3 linked regions of the Alligator mississippiensis genome follow. The main gene of each other region encodes a partner of the protein of the gene in region 2 in a complex. Links are inferred from orthologs where the notes say so. Each region holds a gene or a part of one and is shown on either strand. Other genes may lie near its edges. The genes, in order: CDHR5, USH1C and ANKS4B.

Region 1 (7,839 bases), about 9.1 Mb from region 2:
CTTTACCATTCTGAATAATCTTATGTCATTGGCAAACTTGGCCATTTTACTACTGATCCCCTTTTCCAGGTCACTTACAAATATTTTAAACAGCACTTGTCCCAACACAGATCCCTGCAGGGCCCCATTGTTTACTTCTTTTAATTCTGAAAATTGACTGTTTATCCCTACTTTCTGTTTTTTTATCATTAAGCCAATTTCAGATCCACAAATGGACATTCCCTCTAATCATATGTCAACCTACTTTTAAGAGCCTTTGATGTAGGACTTGGTTGAAGGTTTTTTGGAAGTTCAGATATACTATATCAACTGGACTACTGGATTTCCCTGATCCACATTCTTGTTGAAACACTTGGAGAACTCTAGCAGGTTGGTAAGATATAACCTCCCTTTACAGAACCAGGCTGATTTCTCCCTGGCAAGGCCTGCTTGTCCATATGCTGAACAATACTTGTTTAATTATTGCTTCTACCATTTTGCCAGGAACACAAGCTAGATGTATTTCCCCAAGTCCTTCTGGAGCCTTTTTAAAAATTGAAATTACATTGGCAACTCTCCTGTTCTCTGGTACCAAAGCTGTTTTTAGTGGCAGATTGTATATTTAGCAAGTAGATCAGCTATTTCAGATTTGAGCTCCTTCAAGACTCTAAGGTAAATACCATCAGGTCCTGGTGATTTCTTCCTGTTTAGTTTATTAATATCTTCTAAAATGTCATCTACTGATACCTCAATGTGAATCAGTTCTACTGACCTGTCCCCTGGGCTCTGGTGAGAGAATCTACCCACCATCTTCCCCAGTAAGGCTGATACAAGGAACTCATTTAGGCTGTATACAGATGTGTTGTTCTGACTCAGGACTGATTACCCAGAGGTATGACTTGAATCAAAACAGGAGCTGCACAGTCATATACACATGTAGCCTTTCCAAGATGCATTGCTGCCTTTTCAGTAGTAGGTGGCCAGCAAGAGCACACAGCCCAAGAGACTGGAATGAACTGTCATAATCGTACAGATGTACAATAGGGTATCCTGGGGAAAAAAGTGTTAGTACATTTTATCTGCCTACTGCAGAGGGACCTGAAGCAGGACAGCAGACATGTACTTCTGTACAGTCCCAGAACAAAAGACTTTCTCCCGTGACAAATGCTACATCTGTGCATAACTTCCATTTCTCAACAATAGCCTTGTCCTCTTTAAGCATTTCTTTTACACCCTCATTATCCAGTAGCCCAACTAAGTCTCTGGCAGACTTTCTTCCTCTAATGTACTTAAAGAAAGCCTATGCTTCAAGTAAAATAAGAGAATACGTGCTTTGATCAGTTAGGGCCTCCAGGATCCTTTTGTTAAATTAAAAATGATAGGGATTTTTCCTTTCCTTTTACAGGTTTCCAATTAGTTTCTGATCTCAGTACCATGACTACCAACTTGAAATAATTCCACCGTTTTCCAAAAAATTGTTTCACCTTTACAGAGGTATAAAACAGATCAGAGACCATCCTTACATATGAGAGTGAACTGAGGAGCTCTCTATGGTGGATGTGTGTGAGAGAGAGAGAGAGCGAGCGGTCTTAGAAGCTTTGCAGGTTTTCTGTTTAACAGATACCAATTGCTGCAATTACATCCATTATGAGGACCAATTGCTTGTCTAACTCCCCCGTACAACTGATGCCCCCCTGGCTGTAATGTGGAATTTTGTCTACAGGGAGATCTGAAGTAGATTCAGGCAAGCTAAAATGGAGATTTTAATTGAATGGGATGACAATGAATCATACAGCAAATACAGACGGGGGGCCCCAGGTGTTTATTTTTAGATTCAATTTATTATTGTGCAACATGCCGCAGAGTTTAATTTTACATCTGAAAAAACATGGCTATGTTGGAAAAGCTGTTGCTGGGAGCAAGGTAAAGCTTGTACAGGACGGGGGAGTTATAGCTGGGTAGGAAACTGACCCTTGACTCCTGAGGAGGAGAGCTTGGCATGATCCCAGTGGATGGATCGTAAACTAATTAGCTGGGAAATAGTTAACAAGATTGAACATTTACATTTCAAAATGGAAAGGCCGTGGAAGGGAACAGGATTTTTTTTTTTTTACATGCTAGCTTTATTTGACAAATGCACACAGACCAGACGTGCACATGGACCAGCTGCTTGGGTTCAGAACTCCACTGACTCGACAGATTTCCACTTAAGAACCCATATCTTGCTCCATTAAGCAACATGCCTTATGCCCTTCCTGGAGTGGATTTCTAACAAGACAGTAGTTGGGCCAGACTTGTACATGCAGGTTCCCTGCTTAGGCTATTAAAGCTCAGAGAAACTGAAAAGGTAGGCGCCATTTTAAAAAGCTTCACTTGCTACGACTGACAGAGCCATTGGACTGTCACAGTAAAAAGTACATTATAGAAAGTGTTTTGCAATGTTAAATTAGCTGATATTTGCCTTTTTTCATTTAATAACTTACCTCATAGTCCAAGGAACAGCTTAGAATCAGTTCTGTGTCACGAATGGAGAAGCAATTTCCATCCGCTGTGGGACTGATTGTTACTGTGATACCAGCAGCCTTTGTAATGTTGGTCACCACTAAGCCAGCAGAGTTATTTTCTCGTACCAATGGCTTGGCATTATTTACAGAGCATCCTGAAAAAAAGGCACAATATTTCCGTCAGACACAGGAATTGCCAAACTGGATCAGATCTAAGGTGCATTTACTCCAGCAGCTAGTCTCCAGCTGTGGCTGATGCCTTGGAAGAAGGCATTCAACATCCTGAGGTAGGCAACCAAGGAGATTTTTCACTTTCATCCATCCGGACTCCAAAGGCATTGACTTACCTTGGCTCTGTATTAGGGGTAGCAGCAGAAAGAGTACGTAGGCAGAGAGCCGATGAGAAACAGCCATGGCGCAGACGGCAGAAAGCAAAGGGAAACCCTGGCTGTGGGTGGAGCACTCCTGCCTCTTTCCTCCCTTGGAGTCAGCAGTACTTTGTCATCCATTTACTCCTCCGAATGGTGGTGAAGAACATTGCATGGCTGGCACTAATTCCCAACTGTTGCCGCTCAACCTTTGCCTCCTTGCCCTATTGGATGAATCATTTATGATTCATTTACCGGTACCTGGGTACTGGGTGTGATGAGCAGTAAACGCCGCAGCTCTTCTGTGGCTCTTTGTCCTCTGATTCTTAACTCTTGCAGGGACTGTGAGAAATTCCACATCTTTTAAGATTAGATGCAGAATGTCCCCGAATAAGTGTGGAAGCAGGGTGCTTGTTGACCCCTAAAAAGCTGTCTGCTTGTCCTGACCTCTCCAGTCATGGGCACCGTATAATTACCAAGTGTGTGTGCTACGATATATACCAAGCTAATGATGTGGGTTAACTTTGCACCTCGTACGTACCTGTTCTTGATGAGAATATTTCTTGGTAGACTTAATAGTGATTCAGGCCAACCTTAGCTTGCTTCTCCCCATGCATTATTCTATGCCAGCTGTGTTTGGTCAGCTCTGTTCTGGCGCAAGCCCTGTTCTCCCTGTTGGCTTTGCTCTTTCCCTGCTCCTAATCAGACTATATATTGCATTGCTCACTGGAAGCTAAAGGTAAAGCGTAACAACTGCAATAGAAGGAGAAGGTAGAATGGTCTGGGACCAGGGGGTAGAACTCCTGCTTTCTGCTCAGGCTAGGCATTAGCATGCCTGCATACTCTTGCTGTCCCTACCACTGATGTCTCCTGTGCCCTTGTGCAAGTCATCTGTGCCTTACTTTTTTCTTCTATAAAATGTTTCTTTTTCAGAGGGATATTAGGAAGCCTATGCTTTAAAAACATGACTACTGGTGTTTGGTACACAGATTTTTGGCCATCCAACCCCTATGACAGCCTGATATATCTATATCTATATAGCTAGATATATAGCTATATAGATATAGCTAGATATATATAGATATATATTTTCCAAAGGGATCAGCACTTTGTGAAGATTGGAGTCCTTTGAGGAACTTCTAGCCGGGCAGCTAACATTTCTTGTCATTTGTAAAGACAGAGGGCACCATGGGTGCAAAGTGTTCTGCTATTCACAGATAACAAACAGTGCAAAAGTCAAAGTATTATAATTCTGTTGCAAGGAGGTTTTCCTTTTGTCTCTCTTTCAAGCTACTGGAGCATGAAGAAGTTAGGAGTTGATGTGTATTCCGTATGATCATAAGCCATGTCAGAACTGAACTAGGGGTGGTTTTACTGAGATACTATTTAACTAGAAAGGTACAGTGGAGGAATAGGTGCTAAACATCTTATTAAAAGGGTCATTGGGGAAGAAGATGAAAATCTGGGGACTGTAGCAGAAGAGTGTATATAGTCTGTTGATGAACACGCCTTGCTAAAGAGCCATTTTGGGGAGCTAGAACAGAAAAATGAAGAAGGTTGGGTCTGTGTGTTTTTACTGGGACTTAGGAAATCTGAGTTCTGTTTCTGGCTCTCACAGATTCTTGGTGTGTCCTTTTAATTAAGTCACTCTGTGCCTCAGTTCTTCTACCTGTGAAATGGGGATGTTGTATTTTGTTTGTCAGGTTTATTTAAATTATAAGCTCTTAGGTATAGAGACTGTTCCTTATTCCGTGCGTGTATGTGTGCACACACACATCTGTGCATGTGTCTCTGCACATACAGCAGCAAGCACCTTGAGGCCTGGATTTCAGACAAAATCCATAGGTCCTCCATCCTGCAAAAGGGATCCTGGAAATGATTCTTTCTTTTCCCTACTTGACATCAAAGTTTCATTTGATCATGGGAAGTCTTTCCTAAGAGAAAAGTTGCAGCAGCACTCTAGTGCCTCAGCCTTGAAGGTTTGCAAAGCTTATATTATACCCCATTTCCCTCTTTCAGGATGTGTGAGTGTCAGTAAGCTCTGACTCCTTTTGATGTTTCTTTGTGTGACATATTGACAAAAGATATTTGAAAGTATTGATTGCTCGGGTGATAAGGTCACACAGCAGCTTGGCTTCTTTGTATGATTTAATTTAGCAGTGGAGCAAGCCAGATACCACTTTCAGAGTTAGCTTCTTGGACTACATGTACACGCCACGAGATTTGCCCTTTAGGACACTGCAACTGGTTTTGCTTGCACGAATGGGATTTCCTGCAGTTTTTAAAAGTCTTTTCAGCGCATTAAAATAAAACTCCTGGGACATAGTTTAGTTTGTGTCACCACCGATTACATCGCCGTAGCTATGGATTCATTGCGTGCAAACACAAAAGCACTCAAAGATGACCTTCATTGTCCACCGATGGCGCTGCAGCTTTTTTGTAGTTCACCCCTTTGTGCACCAGAGGGTGCTTTGAACTGGCACGAGGTGGCAGCCCCATCCCAGTGTTGGGGGGTCACGGGGCTGCAGGTCAGGAGCGAAGGGCACTGGCAACGCTGGGGTGGCAGGGTGTTGGGCTGAAATTTGAGCCCTACTCTTTTGTGGACAAGGAGAACAATGTGATTAACTATCAGCACTTGTTTGATAATTAGTTAGAAGCTTTACTGATTACAAAATTATCCATTAAACACAAAGCAACTAAACAACTGGGGTTGCCAGTATACAAGTAGTCAACTTTACTGGGATTGCCAAAATATAAACAGGCAGTTGTCAAAAACCGAGTGTGTTAACGTGGCTCCTTACCGCATCACAGTCTGTTTAGAGCTGTTACTCAGGAGGCATTCCCCTCTGTCAGTCGTACTGGGTGAGCTTCCTGGGTTGCGATCTTCCAAACCTGAAGGCTTGGTCTTCCTTTAGAAATCCATGCCGGTCCCTCCCTCAAAAATCCATGAAGGTGATTCAAACAGCGAATGGTGATTTTACTTGCTTAGGCTATTTAATAGGGGTGTGCAAAATGGGTTGTATTTGATTTGGATTCGGCCTGAATCGGGGGACAGTGATCAATTCATTGATTTGCATCACTGTCTCAATTCAATTCGTCTGAATCCAAATATGAAGATTCGATGCTGATTCAGAGAATCAGCAATTCGGCCATGGACACAGCTTTATATGTTGGGTTTTTTTCCTACATACCTCGAGGTACCAGGTGCGGCTCGTGGATGGTGGAGTGGATGGAGCATGGGGTGGATGGAGCATCCTACAGGAACATGGAGAGGGCCCCCCCAGGTGCTTGGCAGCGGACCTGGAAGTGGACCAGAAGTACTTCTGGTCCACTTCCAGGTCTGCTGTCAAGTGCACAGGTGCCCCCACCAGACCCAGGAGGCACCAGTCGCCAAGCTAAGGGGCAGAGCAGGGGGTCCCCTGCACGCTCCACGGCGGACCTGGAAGTGGACCGGAAGCACTTCTGGTCCACTTCCAGGTGCACCACTGAGCATGCTGCAGACTCCCCTGCACTCCTATGGGGCGCTCCATCCTTCCCAGCATTCACAAATTGCCTGGTACCTTGAGATATGTAGAAAAAACATTTAAAGCTGTGTCTATGTCTGAATCATTGAATCTCTCTGAATCAATTTTGGAGGGTTCTGATTCAATTCGGAGAGATTAAAGGGTCTCCTGATTTGATTTGTATTTGGAGATTTGGCCACCAAATTGGGCTGAATCTCCGGTGAATCAAATTGGTGACTGAAGCTTCTCACAGCCCTACTATTTAAACCTTTAGTGATGTCACCATTACTAAGGCTAGCCAAGCTTGATTATATAATATTTTGGAAGCTTTATAATAGCATAGCCTTAACGCACCTGGAATATTTTCCTGTTCCCACACTAATTAGTTGCAATGATCACAACGTTGTTTTAATTTCTGGTTCCATTGTTCCATTGTTCTGGATGTTCCTTGACATTCATTTTACTGGGGTTAACTTTAGGCCACAATTATTGCCAGCTCTTAACTGAATTGTCTCGAAAAGGTTTCTGGGAATTCAGTCAACTGTCAGAGCCTAGTGGTTGAGTGCCTCAGCACAGTGGAACTTTCTAGCACAAGGCACGGTGAGATTTTGTACGAGGGAATTTCTCGGCACAGTGGAGAGCCCCGGCGTGGAAAGGTTCTCGCCACTCATATGCAAATTCACTTGGCCGGTTCTAAATTATTCCTATGTGGCGACTAGCAATTGGCTCGCTAGCCGTATAAAAGGTTGGAGCGGTTTCCGCCCAAGTTGGAGAACTCCGCGCCCATCTCGGAGTGAACATGGCAGACTGATCAACTGCCGCCGACTCCCCATCGCCGACCGACCCCGACGTACCCCCATGTCCTGAATGCTCGTATTAAAGATATCTCGTCTTATCAGAGCTCCTCGGTTAAACTGAAACTGAAGTTTGAAGTTAACTTTCTTCCTACGCTGTACATCTCGACAGTGTAAGTAAAGCCATCTTTGTTTGAACCAGTACGCGTTTGTGCCTAATTCTACTCCAGCGGTCGAAAGTACCCATCTGTACGTGCTGGGTTTGTGGCCACAACCCAGCCGACCCTTTCCTGGATCCCCCTCAGCCCCCACATCAACTTGACGTGACCAGATTTGATTTTATTTATTTATTTATTTTTGCAACACCTACCCTCCTTGGTAGCTAGGAAAACCTTTTCCATTGCTACCACTTACTCTTTTGTCCTGGCTATTGTACTCAAGGCAGTTGGGGCCACCAACTCCGAGTGTTAGATTTTCTGCCAGGCACATTAGAGTTTTTTTTAATGTGGATAGGGAAGTAAAAGTTGCTTATGAATTTTCTCCTTCTGAATTTGTTTTCGAATGATTCGTGCCAGTTGGTGCACTTAGACTACAATGTCAGACCCTACAACGTCAGACCAACCTGATTGCCTTTTAAGATCAGGTCACAAAAGCATTGGATACAGGTGTCGCAGTGGATGTAGTCTTTCTG
Region 2 (7,226 bases):
GGGGGGTGGTACAAGAAGACAAGGGAATTATATTGTGGAGAAATCTCTACTTAGAGCAGATTTTAAGGATGACTTCTGGGAAGGTCTGAATGCATTTTATCTTTGTCTATACTTACATTTAAAACGTGTTCAGCTGCTTCCATTGTTGACACTTGATGTCAGCACCGGATAATATTTGCTGTAGTGCCCTCAAAGGCTTTCCTGTTTTATAGTTGAATCATAACATAGAGGGGATAGATTTATTGAGGATTAATCTTCCAATAACTTGGTGGGTGGCATCTTGGTACATTTAGTAAGTTGGAAACAAGGTAACATACCTCCCTATATAATAATATTGTCAAGTTTATAAACCGTTTTTGAGCTATGAATAATATATTAAAATTTAAATCAGAATATAATGGTGTAGGAAGCCACAGTGACTTTTCTCTATGTCTGCTGGTATGTAAAAAATAGAGAGAACTCCCTTGGAGCCTTTAAGTTCCACCTAGTCTGAAAGGGTCAAAGGAATCTCCTTCCCATGGTGTCTTAAGGCTCCAAGGATAAAAGTTGTCCCTAGACTAGTGGTTTTCAACCTTTTTAGACTTGAGAAAACCCCTTCATAGTTTCAAGGCACTGCTCAATAGACTCGGAAAATGCCATTTCTTCGTTTTCACTCATGTTTTGACTACAAAGAAATAACAGAGCAAGTCTTCTATTACAAAGAACTCAGAAAGACCACAACAGGTCAGAATGATCGATAAGCAGTTTGTTTTACACAGTAGATTATGTAGAGCTCGTCTATTAATTCATACATGAACTCTAGCTCATTCCTTGACAGCACCAACATCCTTTGTACTTAACTGAGGTAGGGTACCCATCAAAAATTAGTAAGTGATAATGTAACTAAGGATTGTATCATCATGCATATTCAAGTAAAGTAGCTTCAGTTAAACTTGCATAGCTATCCTTCACTTTGTCATTCTGTAAATTTTGAGTGTTAACGTTCAACCTAAACATTCATTTAACATAGTTAAATTTAACATAGTTTGCTTGTGTCATTTCCTTTCTAAAAAAGCAAAAGGGGAAAACAGAAATCTGAAGAAGAATAGAAAAAAGGAGTGAAAGGGGCCTCAAGAGGTCATCTGACCCCCTGCTTAAATCAGGATCATCTTTGTCTAAACAACCCGAGACAAATCTTTGTCTAAGCTGCCCTTAAAAACTCAGCAATAGAGATTCTACAACCTCTCTAGGTAATTTTTTCCAGCACTAAATCACTCCTACAGTTGGAAAAGTCTCCTTTATATCCAATCTAAATTTCCCTTGATGCAATTTAAGTCCCTTACTTCATCCCTGACAAGGGAAATAAGCAGAATGCAGCGTGGTCCACCTGCACACTCATGTACCACTACCGCTGTTGGCAAGAAGATGGTGTAGGAGTCCACTGTGTAACCTGTGAGAGCTCCCCCACATCAGGGGATCTTAGCCTTGTAAGTCTTGAGTCCTGAGATATTTGTTAGTTATATTAAAAGCCCAGCTCCTAGAGAGATGATTTTACACAAGAAACTTAGCTTTCATGCATGTGTTTGCTGTCCTCTTGGTATGTTGCTAATCCCAAGCATTCAAATCTCTTCAGTCAGCACCCTTTCTTCCCTACATTTACTACTAAGATTGGCCTATATTTGCATAAAACTAAAAAAAAAAAAAAAGGGGGGGGGGGGGACATTTTTATTTGGCTCCTAGTGTAGAAGTCTTTCTACTTTGTATATACAAACCTTAAATGGAAATTGAGATTGCCTGTAATCACCTGAGCATCTGGGTCTTTAAAAAAAATGGAGACTCTCAATCAAATTGTGAGCTGACAATACTCCTATGGATTGCAGAGAGATGCTTGGAAGGGTGATGTTGTAGCCATGATGGCCATAAGAACATAAGAACTGCCATTTATTGGGTCCAACCAATGGTCCCTCTAGCCCAGCATCCTGTCACGCGCAGGCAGAGAGAAGATGCTGAAAGGGAGAATGAACTAGGTACAACCAGGGGTTTTTTTGCACCATTCCTCTCTCACTTGCAGCCTCCAGCATTTAAAGGCTAGGAAGTTCTAATTCAGGGGCTATATCCTGAACTACCTTGCACACTAGCTACTTATACACCTATCTTCCAAAAAATTGTCCCATCCCTTTTTGAATCTGGCTAAACCATCAAGTTCTGCAACATCTGGAACCAATGTGGTCCACACTTCAATTATATGCTGTGTGAAATGAGGTCTACCCTTTAATTACATACTGTTAGTTTGCAGGGGTTTAGGTTGTAGCCGTGTTGGTCTAAGGATATAGGCAGACAAGGTTCCTTGGGTGAATTTGATATCTTTTATTAGACCAACCCAAATGGTTGGAGAATAGTTATTAAGCAAGCTTTCGGGTTCAAAAACCCTTCGTCAGGCTAAGGACGCTGCAGCAGTTGCTGCGTGCTCTTCCTGGATGGAATGAAAAGTAAACAAGCCAGGGGCTGGGCTGGGCTGGGGAGTCAGTTGCCAGGCAGATTGTAATGTATCAAAAATCCAATGTCTGTGTTTAGTCCCTGATCTCTAGTATCCAGCAGGTTGATGAAATGGAGCTCATAGGCTCGTCTCTGGGATGTGTTGTGTAAATTTCCCTTGAGGATCAGGACTGAGAGATTGGAGAGAGAGTGGCCCTCCTGTGAGAAATGTTAGTTTTACATTTACTGCCTTCTAGTTTAATTTTGTGACCCTTAGTTCATGTCTTATGAGAGAGAGTAAATAATAAATCCCTATCTACTTTCTCTTTGCCATTTAATATGTTGTAAACCCTCCTCCTCTCTCGTGTCTCTCTTTCAAAATTGAACAAGCCTGGCCTCTTTAGTTTCTCCTCATGTGGAAATCCTTTCATACCATTCATAATCCTTGCCCTTTTGTAAGGCAAAAAATTATAGTCCAGAAATGAGGCAAGAGGCAAAGATGTTTTAGGGTGATCTCTTTTTTTTTTATTGGCCGATATATGTAGTTTATCCTGAAATCTACCCAGTTGGTCCCATAAAAGGTATCACCCTGACAAATCCTTCCCTTTTGCATAAATGTTTTACACACACACACACACAACACACACACGTACATGTGTTTATGTGTAAAGTATGTGTTTATATATGTATATGTGTATTATATAGTATATTCAATATACATAATTTTAATTATGTGTATGTGTTCTATATTATATTAAATATAAGGCATATTAATATATATAATTATGTTATGTGTATATTTATGTCTATGTGCATATATGGATGTATATATATGTGCATGTGTATATGTTTGTGCAAGTGATTTTATTAAATATGAATCAGATTATATATAATTACATTATGTATGTGTTATACATGTACATGTGTATATATTTATGTGTGTGTATGTTTGTGTGATTTGTATATATATTAAATATAAATCATTACTTATGTTAATGATATATAATTACATTTCGTATATGTGTATATATTTATGTGTCTGTGTATGTTTGTGTGACTTGTATATATTAAATATAAATCATTACTTATGTTGATATATAATTACATTTCGTATATGTGTGTATATATTTATGTGTGTTTGTGTGATTTGTATATATTAAATATAAATCATTAATTATATAGTTACATTATGTGTACGTGTACATATGCATGTGTATATATATGTGTGCATGTACGTGTATATATGATTGCGTGCATGGGTTATTTATGTGTATCATATCAATCATATATACATGATATAAATAATATTAATATTGAATATAATGCAGATAAATAATACGCACACACACACAATATATATATTTGTGTGCATGTGTTATTGATATGCACCCTATTCAATATAAATTTAATTAACCATATATATCATGGGTATATATGTTTGTGTGAATGCTATTGATATATGAAATATAAATCACATTAATTATGTGTTGCGTGTATATGTGTGTGTGTCCATATGTGCGTGCTATTTATATATCTCATATGAAATATAAAGTCTATATATCACCTTTTATTATAAACCCCACCAATCATATTAAATCATGTTAGTGACAGCCTAATAAAACCCATCCATGACACGTGTTAGCGCCCCTCGAGGCGCACGCTGGACTCCGCGGCTGCTCCGGAGCTCGGCGGCCCGGACGAAGCCCCGCGGGGCCCGGCTCCCGCTGCCGGCCGCGCCGGGGCGGGCCAGGAGGGCGGAGAAAGGTGCCCGCTGGCGCCGCTCCCCCTGGCGGCGGCCGCCTCCCCCCGCGGCCCGGGAGCGGCAGGAGCCGGGAGCAGGGCGCGGGCAGGGCGGCAGTGGGCATGGAGCGCAAGGTGGCCCGGGAGTTCCGGCACAAGGTAAGGGCCGGGCCTGGCAGGGCGCTCCGTGGAGCACGGAGGAGCGCGGCTTCGCCTCGGTGCTGCCTGGTGAGGGGGAAGGCGCCTCCCGCCCCGCACCTGGCCCTGCCATGAACTGCCCGGCAAGTGAGCTGGGAGCCAGGCACTGACAAGCCCCCGGCATCCTCCTCCCAAAGAAGGGCAGGCGTTTAAACTGACCAGAACTTGTAAAGAGAAGACAAAAGAAGACTGGGGATGGGGGAAGCATCCCTTGGGGTGCGTAAGGGGGAAGAGCTGCCCTTAGTGAACAAAAGCCGCTTTGTTATGCGGGAAAAGGAAAGAGAAGCAGTCATAGCAGCCAGCTCTCAAAAGGGGAAGTGAAAAGCGAGGCCCAAAGTCCATGGCTCGGCCGTTTGCAGGAGAGCGGCATGAAAGGGCAATGTTCAAAAGGGATTCGGATCCGCCTTGACATTTGTGTGGGCAATGGTGCGTGCAGCCATCGGCAGCAGACGCTCTTGAGAAAGCTAGCCGGGCACTTGGGGCAACAGGTCACTTTGTCCCGGACCCAAGCAAAGCCTCAGCGAAGGCCATTTGTTACTTGGTGTGCAGCCACTTTTGAAAAATAAAGGCTAGCATCTAGTAAGCAAGTTCAGCCTGAAGCCTCTGCCGAAAAAGACTCTTTCTCAAGTTTCCAGTTGAGATTTTTCTTTTTCCTCAACCTTCCTTCAAGATCTTCTCTACTAGGCAACTTGGTGTTTTTTTTACCCGGCTTCTGATGAGAACATAACTGGATGTATCTGTATATTTTTATTGTTAAGCATAAACATGTCCTAAAAGCTTTTAGAAGCAATATCTTAAAATGAGGTAGAGGGACCAAGAAGAAACCTTTATGGAGAAGCAACTCCAACAACATAAATGAAGACTGGATACATTTTGCAATTGAAATTTACGGCTGACTATGGTTGTCCAATAAAAATTTCCACGTCACTAACTGGCGTGTACTTATCACAGGGTTGGGTTAGGTTAGGTAGAGCCTGAGCTTCTGAGTCAATAATTACCATCTTGGGTCTTTTACCCTATTCTCTTTCATGTTATGTATCATTTATAAATAATCTTGGGCATGAAAGTAAAAGCAATGCATGTGCAAGTAAATATTACCTTTTATTAGGAATTCAGGATCTAGCCCTTTGCTTAAATCAGCCTACAACACCAACATATTAGTCTGTTCGTTAGTTCAGAATTTTATATATTTACTCTTTTGAGGTACTGTAATAAAAATATCCAGCCATAGCCTCTGACTTTCTTATCCGTTTTATGCAATTTATATTTGATTTTTGTAATTTTATTATTTTCTCCCTTTCTGCCAGGCAGAATTTATAACAGTTTACTTGCATTTCCCTCTATGTTCCTAGGAAACCAAAAGGTCCATACAGTATCTTGAAAGCTGGTGTATCTGGGCTGTTGCTTTAATTATATACCATTTCAGTTACAAATGTTATATTACGCAGTTCAGATACTGTTCCCATGTTTTTGTTCTATTGAAGAAACAAATGTATGCCAGATGCTAAATTACTCTAGATGGTTGTGTTTTGGGGTTTAATCATTATTATTACCGGAAATTAAAAAGAATTTTGCAATGAAATTAACTGTCTTATTTAAACATCCTCAGGCAAATAATTTACTTAGTAGTATTCTACAATTCAGAGTTACACAACCACTATAAAGATGTCCTTAAATGAATGTGTGCCATTTCTGTATCAGTTGAGTTTATTTTGAATCTATATAAATAGTGTTTTATTTTCTAATGAAAATATCTACATTTATTTTTCATGTCATTCTCTGTAACTGGTGTAAGGTGATATGTCTCTTGAGACGCACAATACTGTGACTCTTGACCCTTTGGGTAAGAGCCCACATAATCTTGTAGTTCTAAATGACTTGGGTTAAGTAACCAGGCTATATATTATTTGTACAAAGTCTCCTTAAAATTTATTTATTTTCCAATCTAGGTATTTTTTCATAGTGTAAAATTGAGGAGATGTTGTAACGGCTTGTTCATCTCTGGTTTGTTTGTATCCTCCTAGGCTTAAAAGTATAGTTAATGAAGTTAAGGAAAGAACAAATTTTGCATTTATGATGTGTGTTCATACTTACATGTAGTATCCTTTGTCTCCACATCTGTTTATTCATAATGCATTTGGATATTAAACCTATATTGACTGCAGAGATAGAAACAGGAACTATTAGATTGAACTAAACCAGTGGTCAGGTATTCTGTTTCTGATAATAGCCAGTACCAGAATCTTTTAAGGAAGGGGAAAGAAACTGCAACTGTAGTATAACTTGTCAAAAACCTGTCCATAACAGCACCTAACACTTTCCAGAGGCTAGCTCACATCCTGAAATAGGAGTAGTTTATATTCTTTTTATATTTTTGTCTCCCATGTAACTCTGGATGTTCTCTGTAGTCAGATAAATGTCTCCTTAATTAAAATCTTCCAAACTTTTGTCTCTAGTGTCTTGTGGTAGAGTAGTGATTCTCAACTAGAGTGTCGTAGCAGCCTGGGGTGCCTTGAGATCCTTTCAAGGGTGCCCCAAGGTACCACTCAATGTTAGTACTATTAGGCGTACAAATATGATTCACAAAATAAAACCAGAGTTTTTAAATAGGAATTCATAATGTTAAAAACATTCTGACCTGTTGTGGTCTTTCTTAGCTCTTTGCAGCAGATGACTTGCTTCATTATTTCTCTGTAGTCAAAAAACAAGTGAAAACTAGAAGTTGGAATTGTCAGAGGGGTGCCTTGAGTCTAAAAAGGTTGAGAGGCGATGTGGTAGAGAATTCCTCAAATTAACTATGCAATGTGAAAATAGTATTTCCTTTTATCAGCTTG
Region 3 (7,550 bases), on a different chromosome or scaffold from region 2:
ATCAATGACAAAACTTCTACTGCTTTCAGCGGGACTGGGATTTCACCCACGGTATTTTAAAAGCTACTGAGATCAGCCTTTCTTTCTTTGATGTAAAATGCAGGAACAGTGGGAAACCTCTGCATTTGACTGCCTCAGGACATAGTTTGTGTGGTAATAACAGCAACTTTCACAATGGGTAATAAGTAAATTATTAAGAAAAAAGGCCTAAGTCTCCATGTCTACTATAATTAGGTAATGTTCAGGCAGAAGCCATAGTTTTTCTTCAGCTGCTGCTTAAACTGCTATTCCTAACCCTTCCCCCAAAATACTCCTGGGATTTGAAAAGCAGAGATTCATAGGGACTGCATGCTGCCCTTGGCTAAAGACTACTCTTTCTGCTGGCCTCCCAGGCTTCCTATGGACTGCCGCAACCCACAGTTCAGGGGATGCTGATCTCTCTGCCACCTGCTCTGGAAGCCAAGTCCAGAGTAGGGGAGGACTGAGACTTGGAGCAGACACTGACTCTGCAGATGCCTGAGCTGGAAAGGGGAAGAGCCCAGCCAGCTAGTGGGCTTTAAGGGGACTGCAGGGTGCCTTTGGGTAGGTGCTACCAAAGGGCAACACTCAGTGGTCCCCTTTGGTATCACATTTCAGCAGGGATGGGGCAGGGGCAGGCATTGTATTTCTGGTTATAAACTGAATAATGTGCTTCTTTGGGAGGAAGGGGAGAATGAGCGGGTTTGGGGAACAACCCCGCCAGGTGAGAGAGGGATGAGCTTCAGAGGGACGTTATGGGAAGGGGGAGGGGACTCCTGGATGCGAGGCAGGGAGTGGGAGGATTGGGGAAGGCTTAGTTTGTCACACTGACCAACGTAATACTTTGTTCTGTTTTTATGTGTCGTTTTGTTTTGGATTGAAAGTGGTCCTGAGCTTAGCTTTTTTGGAAGGGCAGTATATAAATCAAATGTATTCATACATACATAAGTAAGAAGTTTAGGTGTGTCCATGGTAATGGGGCAGCTGAATGGTCTTAGAAATCCCTTATGCTAATCACACTTGCATACCCAAGGACTTTTGTGCAGCTAATGTGCCTTGCCTGTGGTTACACAGGAGTTCTGGGGTGGAGCACAGACCTGAACCCAGTTTTCCCGGGTCCCATGTCATTCCCTTACTGGGTGTTCCTTCCTTTTGCTTTAAGGAAAAGAGGCACGTATTAGAAATAATAAGTCAATTTTTTTTCTTGAAAGCCCCATCAGCCAGGGGCATTGTTTGAAAATCTTCCAAAATGCAGCTTCTTCCAAAGACCCAAACAAACATTGCTGAGATTTAGACCAGTTTCTCTGACTCTCAAAGTTAAGGAGTCTCAGGTTAAAATGAAAGCTTTCAGGAAATCATCAGTAATAAAGGTTTGAAGCTTTTGGATGCTGTCCTGTACCAAGCTGATACCAATTTTAAATAAACTAGTGTAACTAATGAATAGAGAATACAGCTCTGTGGAAATCCTTGTGCTCTGTGCCCTATTTTGTGATTGGCACTGGTGTATATAAGACCGTGGAACCTGGGAACACGTTATCTTGCTCTATTTATTTTTCTTAACTAGTTAATTTTCCCTTTTTATCTTTTCCTAAATTATAAGCCAGATCTCCAATGTCTTCAGCAACATCACTGGAATTACATATTGTTTTGTACCAATTTAGAATCTGGCTTCTGTTTTTTGCTTTTCCTAAGGTTATAGCAATAGCTATATAGTCTAAAGGTCTCTTTTATTGGCAGTCAGGTGTTTCTATAGCCACACCTTAGATCAAGAAGCTAAGAGGGGCATCTACCTATTACACTTACCATGTACAGGGAACTTTTTTTCTATTTTTGCAGAAGGGCAAAACACAACTAAAGAAGTATTTATCTTTCCTTAGTTTTCTGCCCTCTGCTCTTTGATGGTTTCCCCAAGTGAAAATGCTCTAGTCCCCTTCTTTCCCCAGTGGAAGACTCCACTAAGAAATAGACCCCTAGGATGACAGCCTAAAGAGAAGACTTGGAGGAAACAGTGGGCAATCCAGAGTAGGGGAATGACCTTTTTATAATTTATCTATAGTGCTGGTGCATTTAATAATTAATGTGAGGAAAAACTACATCAGAGAAACCTCCTTTAGTCTATATTTAATTCCTTTGCATTTTTTTCCTGAAATTTTACCAGCTCCAGCAGAAGCACAGATTTGTTTTTCAGGCATAACTTCAGTTTCTAATGCTATCAAGAGCAGAAAAATCACATTTTTAGATTCAGCTCTTTCTGGTTTCCTTCTGAAAATTATCTGGAGGCTATTAAATACACTTTAATTAAATGTACTTTAATTTACAAAACTATAAAGTTAAGGGTGTATTCCAACTTCCGTTGAAGTAAATGGCAGCTCCTGTAGCTCTCGCTAGCAGCAGTCCTGCATCCTAGTTTCTAAAACTATACATTGCTCAGACGCCATAGAAGCCTGTAAGTCTATGCTAGTGCACCGGGGCCTGATTTGTACAGAGCAGCTTGTTTGATTATGGCCTAAACCAGTAGCACCCCATCCATCTGGCTCTGCGGACCTGATGAGTGGCACAGGACTGATTCACTCTCTCTGCCCGATCCAGCCTGCCGGTTGAATACCACTGGGCTCAACCAATAGAAAAAAAATGAAGCAGCTACACATGATAAAGATTGAAAGCCCCCACAAGAAAACAAGTAATTTAGAAAGCAAGAAACTGCCCATTTGCACCAGTATTTGCATTAAAAGGTGCTGCATGATAATTGTAATTTTGTTTCATCGGCTTTGAGAGGTTGAGGCCTGTTATACTTACCCTCTGCTGCATATGACTTCCAGAGCTTCTAGAAGCCCGTGATAAGCTGCCAAAAGGGTGGGTGTCATCCCATCTTCTTCTGAAGTATTGAGATCTTTTTTGGTCGCTTCTTTCAAAAGGTCCAGATTGCCGTCAGCAGCTGCTTTGTGATACCTGGTCGACATTTTCAGTAGATCCCACAGCAGCGTCCTGGGGCACTGTTTCACTCCGAGTTCTAGCAGGTGCATGCAGCCACACTTTCGCTATCAGGATAGTTAGTTAATAATTACAAGCCAAGATGTCAGCTTCCGGATTGAAATAAAAAGGCAAAGTTCATCCCAGTACACAACTTGCCTGGAACACCGCCTCACTAAAGCAGCTGCTATACAGGTGTCTTTTCTGTGAAGTGACTGTCCATTTGCTTTTAACTCCAGTATTTTACAGTTAAAAATTAAGGGGGATTCTTTCTCTAACCACATGTCCCTCTTCCCCTTCCTTACACAGTTGGGGTGAAGTCAAAGGGAGCTTTGCTATTGATTTCAGCATGAGCAAGATTCTACTCTGTGTTAAAACCAACCCTGGGTGGGTGAAACAGAACACATTACAAGCCACTACACTTCAGACTATGCAGTCTTTTATTCTTAGCTAATTACAACAAATTCACCTTGTCTGTGAAAATAAAACCAAATGAATGATATTTTTCACCATACAGCTCACTTCATCTCAGGATCTTAAAGGGTGTTACATATATGAAATATGCTAATAGGTATTGCTATCCCCATTTTACAGACAGGCAAATGGGAGATGCAGAGAGTTTTAATGACTTGCCTAAGGTAGCAAAGTGATTTAGTGGCAGAGCTAGAAATAAAATTCAATAGTCCTGGGCTTGGCCTCCCAGTCGGTCCCCCATCCTCATAATAAGAGGTCTTCCCCTTGGGGGTATGGTCCCCCTAATTTTAACTGGATGGCCTGTAAGAATACAGTAGGGGTATGATGGGAAAAGCCATTAAAGTATCTCACTGTGGTTCAAGAAACGTACGTTTTGAGACCCCTTCTGGACATTTGCTTAGAGCTGCAGTCCAATTGACCCAGCTGCAAATGGAACATGGTCATTCAGGCTGGGGAGCCAAAAATGGCCAAATGTGATGGCAACCACATTGTGCCCTGTGTGGTATTGGCTACAGAAGCGGGAGTGCTAGAATCACACTAGCTTTATGGGCCATTAGGCTTGAGTGCACCTTTGGCTTGACTTGTATGAATAAAGATCACTGTGCGAGGAAAAGCCTGCGGGATGGGGCCCAAATTCTAACCTGGAGATACAGAAGAATTCTAGACTGAAGTCAATGTAAAAGGTCAGTTTTGAAGCAGTAGCTAAGCAGAAATCGATGTGGGAAGACTGATTGTTTAATAAAAAGCCCCAAATTGCCCTTCTATTGTCTTGGTTACAATCAATATACCTGTCATTTAGCATTATTTTTTCCCCGGTGGTGTTTTATACATTTCACTGCTTTAACCAGTACTTTACACAACATGCAGGCAAGAATTAGCACTAACAGGATTTGACGTTTGGAGCCTTTTATTCTTTGGTATGCTCTCAGCTAGAGTGGAAGTAGCAATTACAAAACAGTATTTACTTGAATCAGTATAACTGCTGCATGCAGTGAAGTCTCATTTGTTTTCCACAATCCCTTCCATATTACATCTGTGATGCCCCTACAAATAGGTTTCCTACCTCAAATATCTTTTCAGATGGGGCTGAAATCTTCAGGAGCCAAGGTTTGCATGTGTTGACAGAGAGAGAGGACCAGACTCATGCCGTAATAAACACTCTTAAACTGAACAAGTATTGAAGACAAAATTATGTTGTTATGCCCTGTATAGCAGTCCACCCACCTATTGCAATAATGTATGATCAGGGTGGCTACTACCCACCTTGGTTGTTCATGTGTACCATGTGTTATAACAGAACATGGTATCCAGACACACCCATGCCCCTTTCTTCATCCTCCTGGGTGAATATCAATTACCAGAAATTGTTTTTTTTCCAAAAACTTAAAATAAATTGACTTGCCTTTCCAGTGACTGTATTCACTGTTCTCCTTGCTATTGGATCAAAGTTGGAAATGCTAGAAAAAACACAGCTGTATGGAAGCGTATGCTATATATGATACTGCATTAAGCTATAATTTATTGGATTCAAGATTCCTTGAGCTCTGGCATTTTTGTTACTGTATTCAATACTGTCATGGATATCTAATTTAATAGATACTGCTAGTAGATATTGGATAGCTGTAAGCTGTTAGTGATTTTATGAGCTCATAAGTATAGCATGAGATGAGTCATTACTGTCTTCTGTGCAACAGCATTTCAAATTGTTAGCTACATCCCTGGCCGGTTTTAAAACTGGGAAATAGCAAAAGAGAATTTTCTACCTTTCTCTCCAAAATCATTTTCTCCTATAAAAACAAATTTACTAGCCTCTGCAGTAAGAAACAGTATTCTCTAAGTAATCTTTATTGCTTAAAATGAAAGGATCCACTTTTAAAAGAATGTTTTTTTCTTCTGATGTTCAAAAGAAATTGTTTTTGTTGCACATTTTAATTGAATGCAAAGCAAAACCTGCTTCAGGAAGAAAGAAAGTACAGGACGTCACAAGGCTTATTGTGATTGTCGCAAAAACAGGCAGCACAGAGAGATCAAACCACATTTCCATCTATTTCTAAAGCCCTGGTGTTTGTTAGTTTTTGTCCCCATCTTAAAACCAGAGCTTAAAACATAATAAATGATTCAACATTGAATGAGCTAAATTTGTCAGCCTGAATGGAGATTTTCTTTTCACAGTCGAGTTCAAAATTGCAAAGTCTCCTGAGCAATTAGAATGGAGCTTTTCTTTTTGTGTTGAAAAAAAGTTCAGAACCATTCCACTTCAAATTGAAATGTCTCATCAGGCTCAGGAGAAACTCCACTGATGTTGGATGTCTTGTTCTAAACTAATGAATTATTTAACTAACGGTCTTGATTTGTTAACGGATTTCTCAACATCTCTGCTTATTGTTTTCCTAGCTCTTACAGATATAATATGGCAGATACACAACATGGTCGGATTCTAAGACCATGGAATTGTTAGTTAGATATTTTGTTGCAGGCAATTCAGAACCCTGATTTGCATCATGCCAATTAGAAAGGCAGAGGTGTTATTGTACCATCTATTTTGCATGAGGTATAGCACACTAGTTCCTGACTACACTTTTGTAAATGGCAAGTTCAGGATGGGGAATGTCATATGAAAGGAGGTAAGTAAGCCCCCTCAGCTTGTATAATGAGATCTGTTAATACTAAGAGGTTAAAAGATTAATGAATCCAGTTGCATTTAGTAATTACAGCTACATCCATCAATGACAATGTAACAATACGTGGTCCTACTTGCATTGCACAGGCAAAACTCTTGCTGCAGTCCTTCAAGTCCCTTGTACTATATGAAATCTTGACCATCCCTGACTCAGCCTCATTAGGAGTTAGAGAGGTTAGAGCATGAATCCACATCCAAGATGTTGGCTGAGACTGTCCAGCAATAACTTCTACTCAGGTAGAATCTAAGGAAATCCTTAGTGGTATTGCCCAAAGCCTGACATATCTGTGTTCCTCATAGCATAGCACATGGAATATGTAACAGCACATGTAGAGGTTTTTGTGGTAGCAGAAGCAGTGATTCACTTACGTTTGTCCTCCTCCCCACACACAATATTTGGGTTTTTTTAGCACATTGGTTCTCACCTTTTTAGACTCAAGGAACCCCTCTGCAAATGCCAGCTCTTTGCTTTCACTCCTTTTTAACTGCAGTAAAAAAATAGAGCGTTTTTTCTTTTGCACAAAACTCAGACTACAACAGGTCAGATTATTTTTGACACTATGAGTTCCTATTTGAAATCGATGGGTTTAGCTCATGCTTGTTAAGTGAAATGGGATTCAGGACTAGTGTATAAAGAAAGGATTGGAAGGACAACTCATTCAACGGATGACAGAAAAGCATTATTTACTACAGGTATTGACTGTTAAATGAGCCTAAAGCAAAGCAAAATCCAGTACATTTAGCTGTAAAAGTGATAGTTTCTCACTAATTACAGGCAAAGAGGTGGTCTCAACCTTGCCAGCTTCTCAAGGTGTGGATCCATTCACCAGGCGATCAGCGGGGCACAGCAGCAGCTCTTGTCAGAATGATTTCTCCTGTTAGCTGCTTCATTCCTCTTTCACATCCTCTAGCTCAGCATCTTCAAAAGCATTCCTGTAGTTGTGTAAATCAAGAGAGAATCCCAAGCAGTAATGAACAGGAAAATCCTGTTAATCAAACTGTTCATTATTGGTTATCAGAAAGTCCCAATTTTGATTGAATTACCTTCCTCGCTAATAGGAGGTTATCCATTTCTATTAAGTTGGAACGTATCAAAAATTGATTAACAACCAAGAAAAACACAAAGCTTCGGAGGAGTTGCCCTTCGAAGATCAAGGGAACCACTGAGGCAAAACCAGAGTAAATCAGGAGGAGGCACCTATCAAAGTCCATATGGAGAATGTCTCTAATAAATCAAGGATAGACAGTTCATACAGTTACATACCAGACAAATAGGAGCCTCTTAAAATCATCATAAATACAGTAAGATAAGCTGGAAGTGGTGCCTCATTATTTCTTTTCAGAAGGTCCAGCCACAAACTTACATCCTCTTGCACTATGCAATTCTCATAAAAAGTTAAGTAGGATT

What was found.
Region 1: USH1C (region 2) and CDHR5 share a complex: the UniProt entries of both Homo sapiens proteins name them as parts of the IMAC/intermicrovillar adhesion complex. The link is inferred for Alligator mississippiensis from reciprocal best matches to the Homo sapiens genes USH1C and CDHR5.
Region 3: USH1C (region 2) and ANKS4B share a complex: the UniProt entries of both Homo sapiens proteins name them as parts of the IMAC/intermicrovillar adhesion complex. The link is inferred for Alligator mississippiensis from reciprocal best matches to the Homo sapiens genes USH1C and ANKS4B.

Annotation. Positions count from the first base shown.
Region 1 is NC_081825.1:183,257,832-183,265,670, forward strand, and holds the start of CDHR5 (cadherin-related family member 5), read right to left. Parts: upstream 3,020-7,839; 5' UTR 2,898-3,019; coding exon 2,831-2,897; intron 2,639-2,830; coding exon 2,463-2,638; intron 2,327-2,462; exon of another isoform or gene 2,107-2,326; intron 1-2,106. UniProt on the Homo sapiens protein: Intermicrovillar adhesion molecule that forms, via its extracellular domain, calcium-dependent heterophilic complexes with CDHR2 on adjacent microvilli. Thereby, controls the packing of microvilli at the apical membrane of epithelial cells.
Region 2 is NC_081825.1:192,394,460-192,401,685, forward strand, and holds the start of USH1C (harmonin), read left to right. Parts: upstream 1-4,166; 5' UTR 4,167-4,317; coding exon 4,318-4,353; intron 4,354-7,226. UniProt on the Homo sapiens protein: Anchoring/scaffolding protein that is a part of the functional network formed by USH1C, USH1G, CDH23 and MYO7A that mediates mechanotransduction in cochlear hair cells. Required for normal development and maintenance of cochlear hair cell bundles.
Region 3 is NC_081836.1:46,290,756-46,298,305, reverse strand, and holds the start of ANKS4B (ankyrin repeat and SAM domain-containing protein 4B), read right to left. Parts: upstream 3,067-7,550; 5' UTR 3,042-3,066; coding exon 2,815-3,041; intron 1-2,814. UniProt on the Homo sapiens protein: As part of the intermicrovillar adhesion complex/IMAC plays a role in epithelial brush border differentiation, controlling microvilli organization and length. Plays a role in assembly of the complex.